4 linked regions of the Coturnix japonica genome follow. The protein of the gene in region 4 binds, or shares a complex with, the protein of the main gene of each other region. Links are inferred from orthologs where the notes say so. Each region holds a gene or a part of one and is shown on either strand. Other genes may lie near its edges.

Region 1 (5,193 bases), on a different chromosome or scaffold from region 4:
GCCAAAGCTTTCCTTAGCATCTATAAATGCTACCAGTGATGTTTTCAACTTAACTAAGAACAAAACATCACAGAATCACAGAATGACCCGGGTTGGAAGGGACCTCAAGGATCATGTAGTTCCAACCCCCCTGCCTGGCAGGGCCACCAAACATACACATTTACTAGATCAGGTTGCCCAGGGCCCCGTCCAACCTGGCCTTGAACACCTCCAAGGACGGGGCATCCACAACCTCCCTGGGCAGCCTGTTCCAGGACCTAACCACTCTCCTAGTAAAGAACTTCCCCCTAACATCCAACCTAAATCTTCCCTCTTTCAACTTAAAACCATTTCCCCGTGTCCTGCTAAAAACATCAGACCTTGTTAATTTAAATAAATATAAGCAAAGTGGCATTTCCTGTGTGTCCAAAACTACTTAATGCAGTGTTCCACAAGGAAGGGGATAACATCAACTATAAAAGCAATTAACACTACTACTTCAGTACCATTTTAGAATAAAGCAAATTATTTCGAACATTACCTGTAAAGCTTGGGTCACATTATGTGCTTTCAACTCTTACTTTTAAGATTGTGATAAATAAATATTAAGCTTAATTGTGATATTGTGATAAATTAATATTAAGCTACAAACTTAATATTAAGTTAAAAGCCCTTGTGGTTATTTTTAGGGAAGGCAGTATGTCAGTTAATGGCTTGGCTAACTATCAAAATTCAATTCATCCTGTGTGTATGTACCATAACAGGACCACATTTGTGCTAAGTTAAATATTCACACTTCCTTGAGTTACTAGACACGCTTTCTTACCTGCAAATAGAGATTTATTTAAGTCAGACAACATTAAAAATCAAGCCCACAAAAACCCTTAGACAGGGCCTGGGTTCGAATCCCCCCTGTGGTGCAAGTGGTAGAAGTGCCGCTCTGCTACACAGAGGCTCGAATCCCGGGGGTTGGACTCGATGATCTCTAAGGTCCCTTCCAACCCGCACAAGACTATTAGCTATTACAGCATTAAAGCATATTTAACAAGGAAGCTGAACTTCTTTAGAGCCATGCATCTTTGCAATGTGCCTTCCATAGAAAGCTGCAAACAGTACTGAGATTTGACAAGTGTATAGAGCTGCTGCAACTCATGTCTACTCAAATTATGCAGCCAACTCCTCAGTCATGAACACAACTTGATGAAAACAATGCACTTCAATTCAAAGAACTGGTTTCAAAGGACTCACACGAAGCACCTTTGGTATATTCACAAAGGCACGCATGGAACTAATGGAACTTCTACAAATCCTAAGGGCCCCATTCCTGTCAATAACACAAATACACTCCAAATGAAGCACAACTGCCTCAGTTTACAGAAACCTACTAACTACCAACAAATACACAGAACTCCATTCAAATCAAGTTTCTTTTTCTTTCAAAGAAAACCCTAAGAAGACAGCAAGCAGTGCACACAGAGGAAACAGATTCTAAGCCCTTCATAAAATAGAAACTGACATCAGAACCTGTGGGAATGGCTCTAAAAACACGTAGTAAAAGCATCTCACTGATGAATGGCAGCTTCCTGTTCCTAGCCCTCATGGTGATCTCTAAGTTCCCTTCCGACCCTCACGAGACTATGATACTATGATACGATGATGGCAGAACTGAAGTGCTTCCCCAAGATAAAGCCCTCTCCTCCCCACTCCTCAGTGCTTTAACTTCTGGCACAGCTCCTGCTTCACTTAACACGTACCTTGAATATATATCCAAGAGGCTAAATATGAACTTGATGGTGCTCAACTCACTCATTCAAACTAACACAGAATAACTTAGAGATTGGAAAAAGAATGCTAGTGAGCCCTGTACTTAAGTCGCCTACTTAAATCCTCCTTAAAACATTTAGGAATCTTTTACTGCTTCCGTATTCACAAGTTCCAGCCTTGAAAACTTCAGCACCACTGAAATCCTTGACAGAGAGAAACACAATTTCCTGTGTCCAAGAGAACTACAATTACAGCTAAAAAAAGAAAACTACATTGACAGCAAAGCTAACTCTTGCCATCTGTTGAAGATCCTTCAACAGCAGCGAGGAAGATGGATGCTACAGGCCACTGCATTGCACAAGGCAGCCTTACTATCACTTGTTATCATTTGCAGCGGATAGACATAAAAAAAACACCGCCACAAAATAAAGTTTACTAAAAGAATTCAGTAAGTTACCTCAGAAAACTTAGGTTGAATACATACACAGATAGATAACAGCATATGTGAATTTCACCTCCCAATTCCCATGCAAGCATTCACTCTAAACTCAACTCATTTAAACAGAACAAGGAAGTCAAGAAGTAGTTAAGCACAGATATGAGCGAGCTGCTGCTTCCCTACTCGTGCTTTAACTAACTGCCAGTTCCTTTAATGATACGTAAATAAGCGTTGTGGGGAAATCCCTAAAAAAGCATCTAGGCTTCCGCGAGAAGGGGAAAAAGGTACCCCCCCCATCCACACACACACGTACATACACACACACTTCACGCTCGGCCGCGGGCTGATTTCACACCGCCTCGGCTCCCGCCCCCTCCCCTCCGTTCCAGCCCCACCTTATGCGCCGAACCCCGCGGCCCGTGCCCGCCGCAGCCGCTCACCCCTCACACCCCGCGGCCCCCCCGGCCCGTGGCGGTTCTTCCCACCCCCTCCCTCCTTCGAGGCGGACGGCGCCGGGGCGCGGCGCGGCCGAGTGTGGGGGAGGAGACTCCCCGCGGGCCGCCGGGCCTGGCACAAAATGGCTCTAGGCGCTTCCGCTCCCCTCCCGCCCGTGGTGAGGGCCGGACCGCCGGGTGCCCGCCGCCGCCCACGGTGAAACGGCGCCCGCTCTCCCGCTCACCTCCCGCCGGCGGTGCGTAGGCCCGCTCTCTCGGCAGCTCGCTCGATAGCCCGGGCCGGACCCGTCACATCGAGTGCCGAACGCCGCTCGCACCGGCCCGTCCGCCGCCTCCCTCGCCCGCCGCCGGCTCGGCCGGTTCCTCCGCTCCGCAGCCGGGGTCTCGGCCGCGTCCCCCCCAGCCGCGCGTCCCCGCGCGCCGCTCCCGCCCGCTCTTTATTTGCGGACTCTCTGCGCTACAAAATGGCGCCCAAGGAGGAAATGAGCGCCCGCCCGCTCCGCCCCGCGACACAGGGCGGCGGCTGCGCGCGCAACACGCGATGCGCGGCGGGAGCTGGAGCCGCCGCAGTGAGCGGGGAGGGGGGTTGTGCCGACCCCGATGGCGGAGCGGCCTCTTGGCGGGTCGGCCCGGCTGCTCAGAGGCTCCCCTGGGGAACTCGCCTCTCTCGCAGCACACACACGATGGCGGGCTGGGCTCGCTGTCCCGCTGCGGCTGCTTCCCCGGTTATCGGAACGTTGGTTTAAAAGCCGTCAGTTAAACGGCGGAGGGGCGGGACGAGCGTTTAGTGCGGGGCATCACGGGGCGGGCGGAAGGATACCGCGGTACTGAGGCTGGTTTGTGGAGGCTCCTCACAGGGTGCGCTGTGAGCTCGGTGCTCTGTGCCCGGCTGGGGTTCGGCTGGTTGCTGTGTTATGGAATCGCTGGGCTGGAACGGGCTGCTGGAAGTTGTCAACCCCCAGCTGAAGTCGGTTCTCTGTGCCTCGCTGCCTGCCTGAAGGTGCGATAGAAATCCGGCTTCGTGGCTGTGTTAATTGGTAACAAAACGTTGGAGGGATTCCAACGTACATATTCCCTGTTTGTATTTATATAGAAGCATCAGTTTCCCTGAGTTAGCGATAGAAAGACCTTGAAGCTCAAGGCGTGTATACAGAGATCTGGTGTGGCTACACAAAAAAGCAAGTTTCACATGAGTGATGACCCCAGCAATACAAAGCTGAAGTACTTTGAAAGCCTTATCTTAGATCTGAGCTAAAAAACAGGGACTGTGATTGCGCTTTCGGTTTTCCTGCCCTGCTTCCTCCACAAATCCTTTGCAGGTGTTTGCTTTAAAAGTTTTAGATGAGCACAAAGTGATCACATGTGTCAAATACTGGACTAAATACTATGGACTTCAGCTCAGTGCAAAAAGCAGCGAACATTTGGACAGCACCACAGCAACTTCTGCAGTGTTAATATAATACTATCATTTTATAACTGCTGTCTGTGGAGCTGATATAATGCTTAACTGCAACGCTTGTGGTACCACTGCACACCTGTGAGTTGCTGCACGCAATGTGGTGGTCAGGAATATATTCACACCTGTATGTTGTGGAGTGTCTCCTCAAGGCATCACCTAAACAGCAACCAATCAATTAGGCTACAATTACAGCTGAGTGGTGACTCAGTTAAGCTCAGGTCTGGGATGCTTATAACAGACAATGTAAGTACAGATGTGTACTTAGTTAACTAAGGATATAAAGCTGGGTATTGATTACAGCCCTTTTAAAGCCATGTTAAAGTAATTATGGTTTTAATATCACGTTGTTTCTCCTACTGACTGAATTTCACAGAGCCTGGATTTCCAAGAAATGTGCAAATGTACCCACACTGGGCAGGAGGTTGTTATTGGATATTATGTTGCTCATTAACTACACTGAATCCAAGCTGCTTATTAATGCTTAGTCATCCTTTTTGTTGTTGTTTCAATAACTTTAATCTCTACCATACAAGTTTCCTAATCATTTGTCTTTGTGCAATTGCTGTGTTTTTGGGGTTTTGTTTTCCTCTTAAGCATTCCTTTAATGCATTTGAATCTCAACCCTGGATGCTATGGCCGAGCAGAGTTAAATAGGATGGTGCAAGACAAACAGAAAAACCAAAAGACCAAAAAAGCCCAGGATATCACTTAGTGATTTCAGGTTGGCCCTTTATTACAGCCTGGACTCCCATTCCTCTTGAGCTGGAAAACAGTTCTGATGTTTGTGGTTGAGAACAAAACTGAAGCAGATCAGCTGTCAAGAGTTTATCAGGCCTCCAGATTCAAACCCCTTCCATCTGACAGCACATAAAGATCAAGTGTGGAGAGAAAGAAAGGGGGTTGATTCCATATTTTACGTCCTAGTCACTATTTATGCTGATACTTGCAAAGCTTTAAATGCAAAGGAATCCCATAAAACTCCCTTTAGCTGTATTAGTGTATTTGGACTTTGTGTACCTGCTCATCTTACATTGTTGATGTTCTGTTTGCATTGATGACCTCAAATTGTAATCAAATATTGTGTGAAGAGTGACGTT
Region 2 (4,648 bases), about 140 Mb from region 4:
TGCTAATTTCCTTCACGTGTCTTGAATGCATGGGAAGTGATTACAGAAAGCTGCAATTCTTAACAGCACACATCCTTACTTCCCAGTCCATCAATTCATTTATATAACACTCAGCTTTAAAAGACAGTCATTCTACTTCATCCATCAGACACTACATCTATGATTAACATCATTTTTAAAAACTCAACATTCTCAAGCTGTAAACCTCAAGGAGTATGAATTAAGGTATTCATATCATATATTTATATAGAAATAGACGTTTTTATGATGCACTTTTTTTCTTTTTACTTAGATTCTGTTTCCATACATACATGTCACACAACAATGCTTCTTAAACCACTCTGAAAATTCAGGTTTAGAAACAGTGAAAATACATTATGGGTTAGTTTTGCTAGGAAGGGAAGAGTTCACTGGGAACAACATTTCCTTTGTAATCCATAGAAGTTATAAAGGTAACAACACAATAAGACTTCTCAGAACTACATTTAAAAGAGCCGCTATCATCTTATTCTCTCAGTCACCTGACAGCTTCTGTCAATACACATCTTCACAAATCCTACTCCAACAGTGTCTTAAAAACACTGCAACATGTAGAGCCCAAACAATAGAAAAGCCACTAATTAATAAAACTTACACAGATGAGCCATCCCAAAAATAACTTACAGTGTACTTCACTGTTAATAGATTCATTGTATCTGAATTTGTTTGAGTAATTTCCCGGGTAATTTACTTTTCCAGAGACACAAATGACCTCTCTGACTATTAAACATTTATTTTCTACAGTTACTAAACTATAATACTAGACAATCAATCATTAATCAACTAACAATTACACTTGTACATTTAGCTAAAATAAGGTATCAGAAAAGGTAAACCCCAGCATCTGAAGATTTCTAATTAGGGAGAGAATGTTTACCAAGGTTTGGTGTAAATTTATAGGCATCTTAATTTAAATGAAAATAATATGTTCTTTCTCCTATTGAATAACATACTCTTCCTCCCTCCCAATATTAATTCAATGTATTTTGTTTAAGAAGGCGCTGTGACTGTCTGCATTTTGTTTCTAAGATATGGAACTTCCAGCTAAACATATGCATTAAGCAAAAGAGCTAAGCATACATATTCATCTGCATAATAGTTTGGGGCTGACACAGCGTAGATAATTGTCTAATACAACTACTACTGATATCTGATATAACGAAGTTCTGCACGAATGTGCGGAAGAACTTCTTTACAGTGAGAGTGACGGAGCACTGGAACAGGCTGCCCAGGGAGGTGGAGTCTCCTTCTCTGGAGATATTCAAGACCCACCTGGACACCTACCTGTGTGACATGGTGTAGGGAGCCTGCTTTGGCAGGGGGGTTGGACTCGATGATCTCTAGAGGTCCCTTCCAACCCCTACAATTCTGTGATTCTGTGATCTAGTATCCTTCTTTATAGAAGAGCTACAAATTCATCAGAGAAAGGAGTGTTTCTTTGTCTGACATCACAACCTTTTGGTAGAGAGAATCCTCAAAGGTCAATCAGAATCCTTCCAACCCCTCTCCATTGTCTTTCAATAGTAGGAGTGTGTTAGGATAGAGACTGTGGTTGAGAATGATTTTCTTGTATTTGGTATTGATAATATTCATCCATTTACTATGCAAACAGTCAAGGGAAAATCTGTATTGCTTTCTCAATCTCCTAGTATTTCAAAAGATGACCAGTAACAAAACACTACCTTTAGCCGTTGTTATTCTAATTGAGCCCTCTTTAATGAGATAGCTAACAAAAATAATGCAAAAACAAAAGATCCCTGCTGACTTCAAAGAAGCCCTCCTTTCTTCTCACTGACCAGTTTCAAGATCATCTTGGATCTGCTATTAATCTGAAGACAAAAGGCTCAGTCACAGCATAGACAATAGCAAAGCTCCTTGCTGTCTGAGGAGTCATAAAAACATGATTTTTACACTAAGTTGGTTTTACTCATCGGCACTCCAACTCTGATTGCACCTTTGCTCTCTTCCAATAATGAACCCTAGTGGCTACTGCATAGAAGCACTCTGCTTAGAAACTGACTCTTTATAACCACTTCTGCCTTACACACAGCCCTGCAGATCTTGTATTTCTTTGAATGGTAGTGAGATGATCAGTTTAATCTTTCTTACCTTCTCTATTTGTTTCCCAGTCTCCATTTTCCTCTTCACTTTCTGGTGTTCTCTCCTTTGTAATTTTTATATCTTCCTTTTCTCTATGTCTTCCTCGTGAAGACTCTTTCTATAAGGGAAAAACACTGCATTAGAGTAAACAACTTTATTTTTTAAAAGAAGCCTGAAGAAGCAGGTACATTTTACATGGTATTTAGGCTGTTCCTTTTTAATAGCACAAAAAGCATTTTCCCCTTTAGCCTGTTGACCATATACCTTCTCAAATAAGCAGAGAATCCAAAGGCAGAATATTCTAACGCGATTTCACATAATCAGTATGCAAATAGCAGATTGGGAAAAGAGAGAAAAAGGGATTTGTCAAATAAGAAGGTTTACAGGCAGGGCAAGAATCAAGCATGTGCCAGAGAATCAAGTTTAAAATGGGAATCTAAAGAACAGATCAGGTTCTTGAAACCATAACTATAACAGCATTAAGAGTTCTCAGCTGTAAGTAAGAATGTCATATGAAAGGAAGATGACCTTTGGAGAAGCTGAACCACTTCACTTGGGAGGATAATGTGGGGAGGGAAAAGGGAGAGGCTAGCAGAAGGAAGTGGGGAAAAAGCCCAAAAGGAAAACGCTGGAATCAGGTTTTCTTAGAAGCTTTATCTTTGCTCATTGGCCCAGTATTAAAAATCAAGCCTATCTACCACAGTAGCACTCACTTAACATTTGGCAAAACAGCATGTGGTATATAGGATCATGATGGTCCTATGGATACCTAAGGATGTCTTTTCTTGGAGGAAACCATTTCAAAAGACAAGTGGATCTGTGCTACTTTCCTCACCCCCCCACCCTGCATTCCAGTAGTAAAGCAACATTGCCTCTGTTGTATCCACACTCTCTAAATAATCTCTCTGGACTCAAGCCAAGTACACGACAAATTCTTTTAACTGTATGCAATCAAAATAATAATAATAATAATAATAATAAAAGAATATCCAAGCATAGAAGACTAATTTATTACATAGGATACCAGAAAGAGCAATTAATGAAAGCCTGCCCCACTCCCCTTTTCTTCTCACCTCCCATAGTGCTTTCTTTTGTCTTTTGGGGATTCTTCAGCGCTGGTACGTTGGACCCCTTATGTGAAGGAAAAGGAAATGCCTGAGAATTTCACTAGCTATTCCCCATTGGGACTTAAGCCATTACTTCATTTAAACCCTTAACACCACCTTAGAGACACAGTGAGGAAATAATACAGTTTCATGGAGAGTCACTCCTAAGTCAGTACAATTAAACTATTCCTTTATTTCTTTAACAATGTCAAACTCTAGCTTAATTACATAAAAAATGACAGAATAAGTACTGCATTTATTTTCCCTAGTAAACTGAACAACACTTCAATGCATAGTTATCTTCAAACCCTTCATCTTGATGCATTAAGTACGTCATATTCAAAGCCTTAAAGGTTTTGAAAAACTGAGCATTTACTAAATGCTACATTCATTTACTAAATGATACAGAGGAACTTTTCATTAAAGAACAATTTTGTGTCAAGTGTAATTTAAAGCAGCTTCTACAGTGAGGAAAAGAGAGATTTTCATCGCTTTACGACAGGTTCTCTAAAAGGATGCACATGGTCCTAACCTACCAAGTCACACAGATTTCCAGCATCAACGCAACATGTACCGAAAGCATTCCAGTCTAAGTACAAAAAACTGTACTAAATTCCAAAGCAACTTACTTGAAAAAGCAACCAAAAAATGACTCATGAGATTCGAAGTTTGCAGCTTTATCAAGTCTCCCCTGAAGCTATTCTCTTGTTTCACTTTGAGCACCTTTGTTTTTCTAGACTGCTCTCCTGGAAGGCTGAATCTGTTCTACAAAAATGCTTATTTTTGCTATAGAATCCAACTAATTCCTACAACTATAATCAAATAATAAACATTAGTTCTTAAAAACACCAGATTCTATTAATTCAACACTATTTGGTAGTAGTGAACTACAGCACGCATGTAGTTCAGCATGTATATCTATGAGGAGTACAGCACCCCTCATAGATACTAACTTTAACAAACACCTCAAGGCCGATTCACAAAGCAACTCGCCAACAAAGAACCTGCAGCTTAATCGGAACAACTTAACAGTCCAAGTTAGAAACCATACAGAACCGGTACGTATCTCACCTACATCTCCAAACTTAAAACCCAACCCAACATACTGAAACAGCCTTTATTTTCTCCTTTCGGAGAAGAGATTCAGTAGTGGCAGCAATGGGGCAGCCATACTTCTAAAAAAGAACCGAGAACAAAATCATCTCCATGAGGAATTTTATTGGGTTCCTGAATAGAGGGGAAGGGAACAGACAATTTTTATGTAAGCATGCTAGTTCACAAGTCAGCACAACTGTATCCGAGCTCGTCCATATGCTAAACAACTCGAGTTCAAATTGTCAGAAGGAAATAATCTGGTAGCACCACATCTTGAAAAAATAAATCTGAGCTTAAAAACTGAGTGT
Region 3 (5,123 bases), on a different chromosome or scaffold from region 4:
AAGCACATTCAGGTGGGGGGATGCTGTAAGCACTGAGCCCACCCCAGGCTCTGCCGTTTGTGCTGCAGGACGGATCCTGCTCCTCCTGCCTTTCCTCGAGGTGCTGGGCGCTGTCTGTGGTTCGCTGCCAACCCCGATCCATGGCGTGGATGTCCTCCAGCTTTTTCCTTCTGCTGGTTGAGGCAGCGCATGAATCGCATTGAGCACATAGTGGAAGCTGAGGTCGGAGTGCACGCCTGCTCGCTCTCGCACTGCAGACAGGCTCCCAGGAGGGCTCTTGTGGCTTTGCCTAAGTGAAGCTAACGCATTTCGACAGCTCTAATGGGCAGCTGGGATGGGAGCGAGGCTGCAGGAAGAAACGAGGATGCGAAGCAGCTCAGGGAGCAGCTGGGATGATCAGCAGGGGATGATCAGCACAGGGGGAGCAGCAGCACTTTGTGTCTCCTCCTCTGTGCCCGATGGAGTTGGAGATGATCATTTAAAGAGGAACAAGACAACAGCACCTTGCACTCAGCCTGCAGCACCCAGACACCCCCCAGGTAATGAACCTAAATACCCCCCAGGTAATTAATAAACCCCCAGACCCCCCAGGTAATGAACCTAAATACCCCCCAGGTAATTAATAAACCCCAAAACCCCCCAGGTAATTAATGAACCCAAACATCCCCCCAGGTAATGAACGCTAAATACCCCCAGGTATTATGAACGCCCAAAACCCCCCCGGTAAATTAATGAACCCAAATATCCCCATATAATGAACCCAAACACCCCTCAGGTAATTAATGAACCCAAATATCCCCCAGGTAAATTAATGAACCCAAACATCCCCCAGGTAATGAACCTAAATACCCCCCAGGTAATTAATGAACCCAAATATCCCCCATATAATGAACCCAAACACCCCCCAGGTAATTAATGAACCCAAATATCCCCCATATAATGAACCCAAACACCCCCCAGGTAATTAATGAACCCCCAAACCCCCCAGGTAATTAATGAACCCAAATATCCCCCATGTAATTAATGAACCCAATCACCCCCCATATAATGAACCCAAACACCCCCCCCATAATGAACCCCCAAACCCTCCAGGTAATTAATTAACCCAAACACCCCCCATGTAATTAATGAACCCAATCACCCCCCAGGTAATTAATGAACACCAACACCCCTCCATGTAATTAAGGAACCCAAACACCCCCAGGTAATTAACCCAAATACCCCCAGGTAATTAACGAACCCAATCACCCCCCATGTAATTAAGGAACCCAATCACCCCCCAGGTAATTAACGAACCCAATCACCCCCACGTAATTAATGAACCCAATCAGCCCCCATATAATGAACCCAAACACCCTCCATGTAATTAATGAACCCCAACACCCACCAGGAGACCAATCAAAATCAAAGCGCGCTTGACTGACAGCCATATTAGCCAATCCGCAAGCTCCTACCCGCATCCAATCGGGTGCTTAGGGAGATTTTCTCGTCCAATGGTAAACGAAGAGCGGAGCGTGGGCAGCATCCCGCGCTTCTGCAGGAGTGGCATTGGCTTCAACCAATCAGAACAAGGCAGACCAGGTTGGCAGTGACCAATGGGAAAAGGGGGCGGGTAAAGCGCTGCTCGCGAGAATTTGAGCGGGACAACGGGAACCCGCGGACCAATGGGGAGCAGGGGCGAGATAACTGGCAGGTGAAAGGACCAATTGGAAGGAGGAGAGAGTTTCGCCCAATGACCAATGGGAAAAAGGCAGAGCCGCTCCTAGTGACAGGAGAGCTGGACCAATCAGAAGGCCGCGCCCTTTCTAACTATCCAATGAGACAGCGGGGCGGGGCGGATGGGGGGCGGCTCTTCCCGGCGCGCGAGGCCGGCCCATAGACAGACATCTCCCTCAGCCAATAGGAACGAGGATCGGCGGGGCGGTGGGGCGGGATTTCCGCCCGGCGGGAGAGAGAGGGTGGGGTGAGGCTGCGAGCGGCCAATGGGCGCCGAGGGGGCGGGGTCGGCGGCGGCCGCGGCTTCCAAGATGGCGGCGGATGCGTGAGCGCGGCGGTCGGTCCGTCGGTGAGGCCGCCGGGGCGCAGGGCCGGGCGGGAGGCGGCCCCGCCGGGCACCGCCATGAAAGGCAAGGAGCGCTCCCCCGCCAAAGCCAAGCGGTCTCGGGGCGGAGGGGGCGGCGAGGACTCGGCCTCATCCTCCTCCTCAACGCGAGAGCGGAGCAGCAAGAAGCCCAGCGGCTCCGGCGGCGGCTCCAACGGCGGCAAAGCGGCGGCGGCGGCTTCGAACGATAACAACAGCGGGAGGCGGGGCCCGCACCAGGACAAGGCCGCACGGACCGAGAGCGGGGCGGCCACGGGCACGGGAGGGCGGCACGGGTACGGCGGGAAGAGCACGGAGCCGTCACGGAGCAGCAGCAGCCGCGGGGGTGAGTCCCGGACGGTTGCGGCCCAGTCGTCGTCGTCTGACAGCGGGGAGTACAAGACACTGAAGATCAGCGAGCTGGGCTCGGCTCTGAGCGACGAGGCGGTGGAGGACGGGCTGTTCCATGAGTTCAAACGATTCGGAGATGTGAGTGTTAAAATCAGTCGCCTCCCGCCCGGTACCGGCGCTGCGGATGAACGTGTGGCTTTCGTTAACTTCCGACGGCCTGAAGATGCACGAGCCGCTAAACACGCCCGTGGTCGCCTCGTGCTGTACGACCGGCCGCTGAAGATCGAGGCCGTCTACGTGGGGAGCGGCGGAGGGAGCAGCAGGAGGAGGAGCAGCCGTTCGCCGGCGCTGCTGGACAAGGAGTCACCCTACGGCACGGCAGCCGTGGGGCTGGCGGCGGCGGCGGCAGCTGTACGGCATCCCGCAGCTGGGGCGACGCAGCGGGCTTTGTCCCCCGCCGGCAGCGGAGGGGCGTTGGGTTACCGGGACTACCGGCTGCAGCAGCTCGCTTTGGGCCGCTTGCCGCCCCCTCCCCCTTTGCCCAGGGAGTTGGAGAGGGAGAGGGACTATGGGGGTTTTTATGAGGCGCGAGTGCGGCCGGCCTATGGGCTGGAAAGGGTGGCCAGCGTGGCGGCTGCTGGGGGATTCCGTGGAGGAGGAGGGGGTGCTGGAGCTGCCAGTGAGGAGGAGATCAGCCCTGAGGATGACCAGAGAGCCAACCGCACGTTGTTCCTGGGCAACCTGGACATCACCGTGAGCGAGACAGATTTACGTCGAGCTTTTGATCGTTTTGGGGTCATTACTGAGGTGGACATCAAAAGGCCGGGGCGCGGGCAGACTAGCACTTATGGGTTTCTTAAGTTTGAGAATCTGGACATGGCGCATCGAGCCAAGCTGGCCATGTCGGGAAAGGTGCTCCTGCGTAACCCTATCAAGATTGGGTATGGTAAAGCCACTCCAACTACCAGGCTCTGGGTGGGTGGCCTCGGGCCTTGGGTGCCCCTTGCCGCCTTGGCCAGGGAGTTTGACCGTTTTGGCACCATTCGTACCATTGATTACCGCAAAGGTGATTCATGGGCCTACATCCAGTATGAGAGCCTGGACGCGGCGCAGGCGGCCTGCACCCACATGCGTGGCTTTCCATTGGGTGGGCCGGATCGCCGCCTCCGCGTTGACTTTGCGGATACCGAGCATCGGTACCAGCAGCCCTACCTGCAGCCCCTGCCTTTGCCCCCTCCTGCTCATTATGAGCTCGTGGCGGAGGCGGCTGCTTTTGGGGCTCACCGGGGGGCCCCACCCGATCCTCTGCGGGGTGCCCGGGACAGGACGCCACCGTTGCTCTATAGAGACCGTGATAGAGACCTTTATCCCGAGACAGAGTGGGTGCCACCCCCACCCCCTGTACGGGACAGGAGTAACCGAGCAGCTGCCTACGACCCACTGGAAAGCCTAGAACGCCGTCGGGATGGTTGGTCCTTAGAGCGGGACCGAGGGGAGCGGGAGTTGGGCAGTAGTAGGGATCAGCCTAGGAAACGGAGGCTGGCTGAGGACGGAGGCCGGCACTTGGATCGCTCTCCGGACAGCGAGCGCTCTTCTTCCTCTCGGAAGCGTCACTGCTTGACCACGACCACACCACCAGACCGCAGCCCTGAGCTCGTCGGGGGGAGGGAGCGTTACAGCAGCGACCCGGAGCGTTCATCGTCTCGCTTGCTCCTCTTGGAGCGGCCCTCTCCCATCCGGGAGTCACGGAGGGGCAGCTTGGAGAGGGGTCAGAACGAAAAGCGTGACCGAAAGAATTCCGCTGAAAGGGAGCGGAAACATCGCACTTCTGCTGCTGCTGCACAGGAGTGCAAAAGCCCGGCCAAAAAGGATGAACGTGCTGCAGAGGGAGGCGGTGGAGGCTCCCGCCTCAAACCTCCACCTCAGAAACAGCAGCAGGACGGAGCATCGCAGGCCGGGGGAGCCCCCAAGCTGTGCTTGGCGTGGCAGGGGATGCTTCTGCTGAAGAACAGCAATTTCCCGTCCAATATGCACCTGCTTCAGGGGGACCTCGGAGTTGCCAGCAGTCTCCTTGTGGAAGGAGCGACTGGTGGGAAAGTAGCTCAGCTCAAGATCACCCAACGTCTTCGTCTGGACCAGCCCAAGTTGGATGAGGTGAACCGCCGCATCAAGGTGGCGGGTCCCAATGGTTACGCCATCCTTTTGGCTGTGCCCGGCACATCAGACAACCGCTCCACAGCCGGGGCTGGCGAGGCCACCACCTCCACCCAGAGGCCGCTCAGGAATCTGGTCTCTTATCTAAAGCAAAAGCAGGCTGCTGGGGTGATCAGCCTCCCTGTGGGGGGCAACAAAGACAAGGAGAACAGCGGGGTCCTGCACGCCTTTCCGCCCTGCGACTTCTCCCAGCAGTTCCTGGACTCCACGGCCAAGGCGTTGGCCAAATCAGAGGACGACTATCTGGTCATGATCATCGTCCGTGGGGCATCTTAAAAGCCCTTGTGTGCTCTGTACCCAACCCTGCCTACTCCTCCACACAGCCCCTCCAGCGTGTGCCAGGTGCTATGGGATACAGCCTTAGCCAGCCCAGTCATGATTTTAAATTAGATCTTTGTTTGTAGGTGACTTTCTGTGCCCATTCTTTTTATTTTCTGTTACCGCATTTTTCTATAAGGTTAGAAGCCAGAAAGGTTGG
Region 4 (5,173 bases):
TTACACTTGCCTGCAAACAGGGAATGTTTTAAAAGCATTAACAGTCATCAAGTCAGATCCCCAAGCTTGTTACATCACACTCAGAAATCTAAGTCCATCGCAAGGATTTTGTTATGCTAGTTGATGAAAAGAACAGTGCTTACTCACTTCATTACAAATTGTCCACTGACATAAAGAGTATTATTAAAGCTAAGTGGCGCAAGGCTGAAAACACACTAAAAACTTGTAAGACTGTTGGTATTTTGGGGGAGGGGAAGGGATTGTGTTTGTTTTAAAGCTCTTGATTTTTGCACTTTCAAGCTTACTTTATTAAATCAAGGGGCAAAGCAAACTCAGCGAGTCAGGCAGAACAACGCAGTCCAGCAGTTAAGGCCCTGGTTCCATCTCAACATTGTTCTGCCATTTACTCAGAGGTTTGCTGAAATTACCACCCTCTGGAAGCCCCACAGAGACACAGTAACACCTGTTACCTACAGGGACACCGTGGCTGCCTCTTCCCAAGAGTCCCACTCACCATGCGCCCATACATTTTGATGGGCAATCCGCACTTGTCACAGAAATGGACGGGCGTATCATCCTTCTCCCCCAGCAAGTTTATCTAGAAGAACAGAGAAAGAGAACCATTACTAAAGCTTCTTCTCATTGCAGTCATCACCAACCCACCCTTTCTGAATTACCAGACTGAAGCAAGACCACCGCAAAGATAAAAATGTATTTTTGGTACATCAAAGTAATGCAAGTGCTTTCATCCTAGTAGATACTTCTTAAAATAACCTTCAGTTTGGTACAATTCACAAAGTTCCACCATTTCCCATCCACGATTTTACCTTATAGTCCCAAAAAATGGGTCCGGGGAATCTCCTTTGATTTCCAAACATTTCACCTCCTTTGCATTCGTATCGCTCCTCTTCATTAAAATCAAATTCTTCTGTGGAAAGAGGAAAGACAGACACAAGGCAACACCACTTCCCTGACTGACACCGGCTGCTATTGAGTGCATGCACCATCATATACTGAAAACATCAAGACGGGCTGCAACACTCCCGGTCTGCTGGGCTATTCTGCAGAAAGGTACAATCAAAACAGTGTGAATTTGTTTGGGGAATTGACATAATTTAATCCTTACAGAGCAGCAGAACCTGGAAACTTAAACAGGCTGAGCAGCTGTAAAAAATCTTGGATTCCAACACTGACTAAAGCCTTCAGCAGTGCTGCAGAATGCACTGCCTCACTGCGGGGTGAGTTGCTTGTAGCAATTTACCTTCATCCCCAGCTTGTGTCTTTGCAGGCATCCTGTTCATAGCTCTGGGAGCCCGAGGAGCAGGTTTGGTTTTATTGGTCTGCTTTGAGATCAGCTTTATAGGGATTCTTCTGCGAACATCAAGCCCACCCAATGACGCTGAACTGTTTGTTCCTTGCAAATCATTGTCTGTGGAAGAAAAGGAAATTCTGTTATTTCTTAGTTACAAAAGAGTTTCTGAAGGTTCTCAGAATCACAGAATGGCTTGGGTTGGAAGGGACCTCAAGGATCATCAAACTCCAACACCCCCCCACCACAGGCAGGGCCGCCAACCTCCACATTTAATACCAGACCAGGCTGCCCAGGGCCCTATTCAACCTGGACTTGAACACCTCCAGGGATGGAGCATCCATAACCTCTCTGGGCAGCCTGTTCCACCCTTTGCACCTGGACATATCATTTACAAGTTCAGCATGAAGTATCACAAACATATTGGTGCCTAGAGTACATAGCATCCTTGCTAAAGATCACCATTCCTCTCTACAGGGCGCGTTGGCCAGATTTAAGACTGGCACCAAAGGAAACAAGGATATGCCCAAAACAGGCACCAAGAGACAACCTGGAGAGGAAAGTGCTGCCAAGGATTGGTGCACACCCCAATTTCTCTGGCTTTCAGCAAGTCTGCCTCAACCTACCACACAGCATCTCATTTATACTAAAATAAAATCACACCCTTCACAAACCAACCCAGCTCACTTCCATTTTAACAGGAACATGGATAGACAAAATAGCACATTCAGTCAGCACTTTGCAACAAACACTCAGACTTCTACAAAACCCATTATCAGACTGATGTTCAGATGCCTTTAAGTCTGTATCCCTATAGAAAGGAGATGGACAAGTGTGTAAGATCACAAGTAACCCAGAAGGCAAATTCCATTCCGAAACAAAACTGACACACAACTCGGTGACAGCTCTGCAGTACCTGGACATTGAGACAGGGCCCCATCAGGGCACCGTGCACAACACCTCGTGTAAACTCTGTGCCTCAAAGCTCGCAGCTTTCCTCTGCAACAGCAACCAAGTTCCAAATCAGGACTGTGCCTTCACACTCACTTTGCTTCAGTATTATAAGTGCCCATATTTTGTGATCCATTCATCAGACAGCACCTGTTTTCCTCTGATCGCTCCCTGGGCTGCTCTGCTGCACAGCAAACAACACACTGCACTACAGGCCACAGCAGTCCTACAGACGTCGGTCCATTTGCAAGCATTGATAAATACACCAAACACAAGGTCAGAACTCAGCACAGCGCTCGCTCCATTGCGCTGTCCAGCGGGAGCAGTTCAGTTCTCACCCTGCCCAGCGAATGCCCACAGCCCCAAACCCAGCGGGCAGAGTTGGCTCCTACTTGCTCCTGCCTGTTTCCAGAAGGACGACAGAATCACAGAATTATCAAGGTTGGAAAAGACCTACAAGATCATCTAGTCCAACCATCACCAATACTTCCCAGCTAAATCATATTCATCAACACCACATCCAAACATTTCTTGAACACTCCCATGGTTGGTGACTCCACCACCTCCCTGGGCAGTGCATTCCAATGCCTGACTACCCTTTCTGAGAAGTAATACTTCCTAATGTCCAGCCTGAATCTCCCCTGGCGCAGCTTAAACCATTCCCTCTAGTTCTATCACCGATTACACGAGAGAAGAGGCCAACCCCCAGCTCACTACAACCTCCATTCAGGAAGTTATAGAGAGCAACAAGGTCTCCCCTGAGTCTCCTCTTCTCCAGACTGAACAACCCCAGCTCCCTCAGCCGCTCCTCATAAGGCCTGTAAGACACGCTCTGGTCTGTGGATACACACCCAGCCCTAAACAAGTACAACAGCTGTACCCAAATCTTTAGACCTGGAGAGGATGCAAGCAGCAGCGGAGCTCCTCTGTTTTCTTGAGCATTTTAGGCCTTCTTATAATCCATAACACAGCACAAACCCGAACCCTGACGCACAGGCCCCGCAGAACGGAGCGCGGATCGGCCGCGTTCGCTGGGGGAGGGGACGGCGAGCTCGGCGCTCCGGGCACGGCTCAGGCCCCGCGCCCGGGCTCACACCGCGGCCCGACGCGTTCCCGAGCACCGGCCCAGCCGCCCTCCGCCCCGCAGCCCGCTCACAACCGCCCCCCGTCCGGCAGCGCGGCCCAGCAGCCCCCGGCCCGGCCCGGCCCGGCCCGGCCCTCCTCACCATTGTGGTCCATGGCGCGGGGCGCTGTGGGAGAGGAAGGGCGCGGCCGGAAGCGGAAGGTTCGGGGCAACGGGCGGGGAGAGCGGCAAGGAGCGCGCTGAGGGGAAACGGCCATGGCGCCATGGAGCCGAGCGGGGGCCATAAGCACACACTGCTCTGGGTGCTGCTCAGCATTGGGATCCGTACAGACACATCTGCAAGGACTGAATACCATGCGGATGCACGGAGTGTTTTCTCAGTACGCACAGCTTTTGTTTTTCAGTCAGTGGATACAACGGCCTTCAATACACAGATCTGTAAAAGGGTTGTGAAATGTATCTCCAAGTGTAGCACCCCATAGTGCAAAGGCTGTAGTGATACATACAGAACCATCACCTCAGACTTTGTGTGGAACACCAACATTCAGGACAGGTCGAATGCTTTGTACCATTTGAATTGAGAGCACTGCCATACCTTGAGGAAATACACAGTCCAAGACTGAGATAAGTGCATTGCATTGCTCCTCTCAGGGCAGCCTGTTCCAGCTCCTCCCCACTCTTGTATTAAAGAGCTTCCCCCTGATATCCAACCTAAATCTTGCCTCGTTCAACTTAAAACCATTTCCCCTTGTCCTGCTGTTATCTACACCTTCAAAGAGTTGACTCCCCTCCTGTTTATAGGTTCCCTTTAGATACTGAAAGGCTGCAATGAGGTCACCCCCCATCCTTCTCCAGACTGAATGAGCCCAGCTCCTTCAGCCCATCTTCACACAGGAGGTGCTCCAGTCCTCCAGTCATCTTTGTGGCCCTCCTCTGGACCCTCTCCAGCAGTTCTCTGTCTTTCTTATATTGGAGCCCCCAAATCTGGATGCTGTCCTCCAGATGGGGCCTCCTGAAGGCAGAGTAGAGAGGGACAATCACCTCCCTGTCTCTGCTGGCCACCCCTCTTCTGATGGAGCCCAGGATACCATTTGCTTTCTGAGCTGCAAGAACAGGCTACTGCCTTGTTCACTTTTTTCATCCACCAGGATCCTCAGGTCCTTCTCTAGAGGGCTAAAGAAAAGCATTACAGACTCTGAGAAATGCTTCCATCTCAGGACGTGCAGGTCAGTCTGGCTTGGCTCCTAAGCACACACCTAGTTCCAGTTCATGGAGATGCCAGTCTGGCACACAAAGGGCATTTGCTTAACAGTAATAAGAAGTCATGTTGTCACCAGCTTGGGCTGTACCAGCAGCACCTTTGAGGTTCAAACCCCCACTGCATTTGAAATAAAAAATGACACCGATTGCCATTAGAACTGAAGTTTTTTGCATTTATTACAGAATAAAGATGTCAGTTTCACGCCTTTGCCCACTGTGTGAGGATCCTGTCCATATGATTGAGATTTATAGGATTTTTTACAATGATCTTAATGGAGTTCACTCAGGTCCATAGGGCAGAATAACGTACTTAGTGCTTAGCTTTTCACCTGAGATTTTCCACTAACCTTACTTGCAGCAATATCCTTCTCAGTGCAGTATGATATAGGAAAAATTCTCTGATGCAATCAAATAAGGAGACTTAACAAATATCAACATAAATGCCAACAACTGGGAATCGTAAATACTGAGGGGACATTATACATGGACATTTCTTATACTTCTGCTATTATATATTCCCTCACTGTGCAAAGATTCGTGTTTGTTTTTTTTTTTTCCTTTTTTGCTTT

What was found.
Region 1: CBLL1 (region 4) and WTAP share a complex: the UniProt entries of both Homo sapiens proteins name them as parts of the WMM complex. The link is inferred for Coturnix japonica from reciprocal best matches to the Homo sapiens genes CBLL1 and WTAP.
Region 2: CBLL1 (region 4) and ZC3H13 share a complex: the UniProt entries of both Homo sapiens proteins name them as parts of the WMM complex. The link is inferred for Coturnix japonica from reciprocal best matches to the Homo sapiens genes CBLL1 and ZC3H13.
Region 3: CBLL1 (region 4) and RBM15 share a complex: the UniProt entries of both Homo sapiens proteins name them as parts of the WMM complex. The link is inferred for Coturnix japonica from reciprocal best matches to the Homo sapiens genes CBLL1 and RBM15.

The regions. Positions count from the first base shown.
Region 1 is NC_029518.1:41,023,718-41,028,910, reverse strand, and holds the start of WTAP (pre-mRNA-splicing regulator WTAP), read right to left. Parts: upstream 3,138-5,193; 5' UTR 2,862-3,137; intron 1-2,861. UniProt on the Homo sapiens protein: Associated component of the WMM complex, a complex that mediates N6-methyladenosine (m6A) methylation of RNAs, a modification that plays a role in the efficiency of mRNA splicing and RNA processing.
Region 2 is NC_029516.1:150,360,456-150,365,103, forward strand, and holds part of ZC3H13 (zinc finger CCCH domain-containing protein 13), read right to left. Parts: intron 3,271-4,648; exon of another isoform or gene 3,213-3,270; intron 2,258-3,212; coding exon 2,149-2,257; intron 1-2,148. UniProt on the Homo sapiens protein: Associated component of the WMM complex, a complex that mediates N6-methyladenosine (m6A) methylation of RNAs, a modification that plays a role in the efficiency of mRNA splicing and RNA processing.
Region 3 is NC_029541.1:1,764,989-1,770,111, forward strand, and holds the start of RBM15 (RNA-binding protein 15), read left to right. Parts: upstream 1-1,986; 5' UTR 1,987-2,119; coding exon 2,120-4,921; 3' UTR 4,922-5,123. UniProt on the Homo sapiens protein: RNA-binding protein that acts as a key regulator of N6-methyladenosine (m6A) methylation of RNAs, thereby regulating different processes, such as hematopoietic cell homeostasis, alternative splicing of mRNAs and X chromosome inactivation mediated by Xist RNA.
Region 4 is NC_029516.1:13,295,260-13,300,432, reverse strand, and holds the start of CBLL1 (E3 ubiquitin-protein ligase Hakai), read right to left. Parts: upstream 3,618-5,173; 5' UTR 3,602-3,617; coding exon 3,487-3,601; intron 3,403-3,486; exon of another isoform or gene 3,155-3,402; intron 1,430-3,154; coding exon 1,262-1,429; intron 929-1,261; coding exon 828-928; intron 599-827; coding exon 515-598; intron 1-514. UniProt on the Homo sapiens protein: E3 ubiquitin-protein ligase that mediates ubiquitination of several tyrosine-phosphorylated Src substrates, including CDH1, CTTN and DOK1. Targets CDH1 for endocytosis and degradation.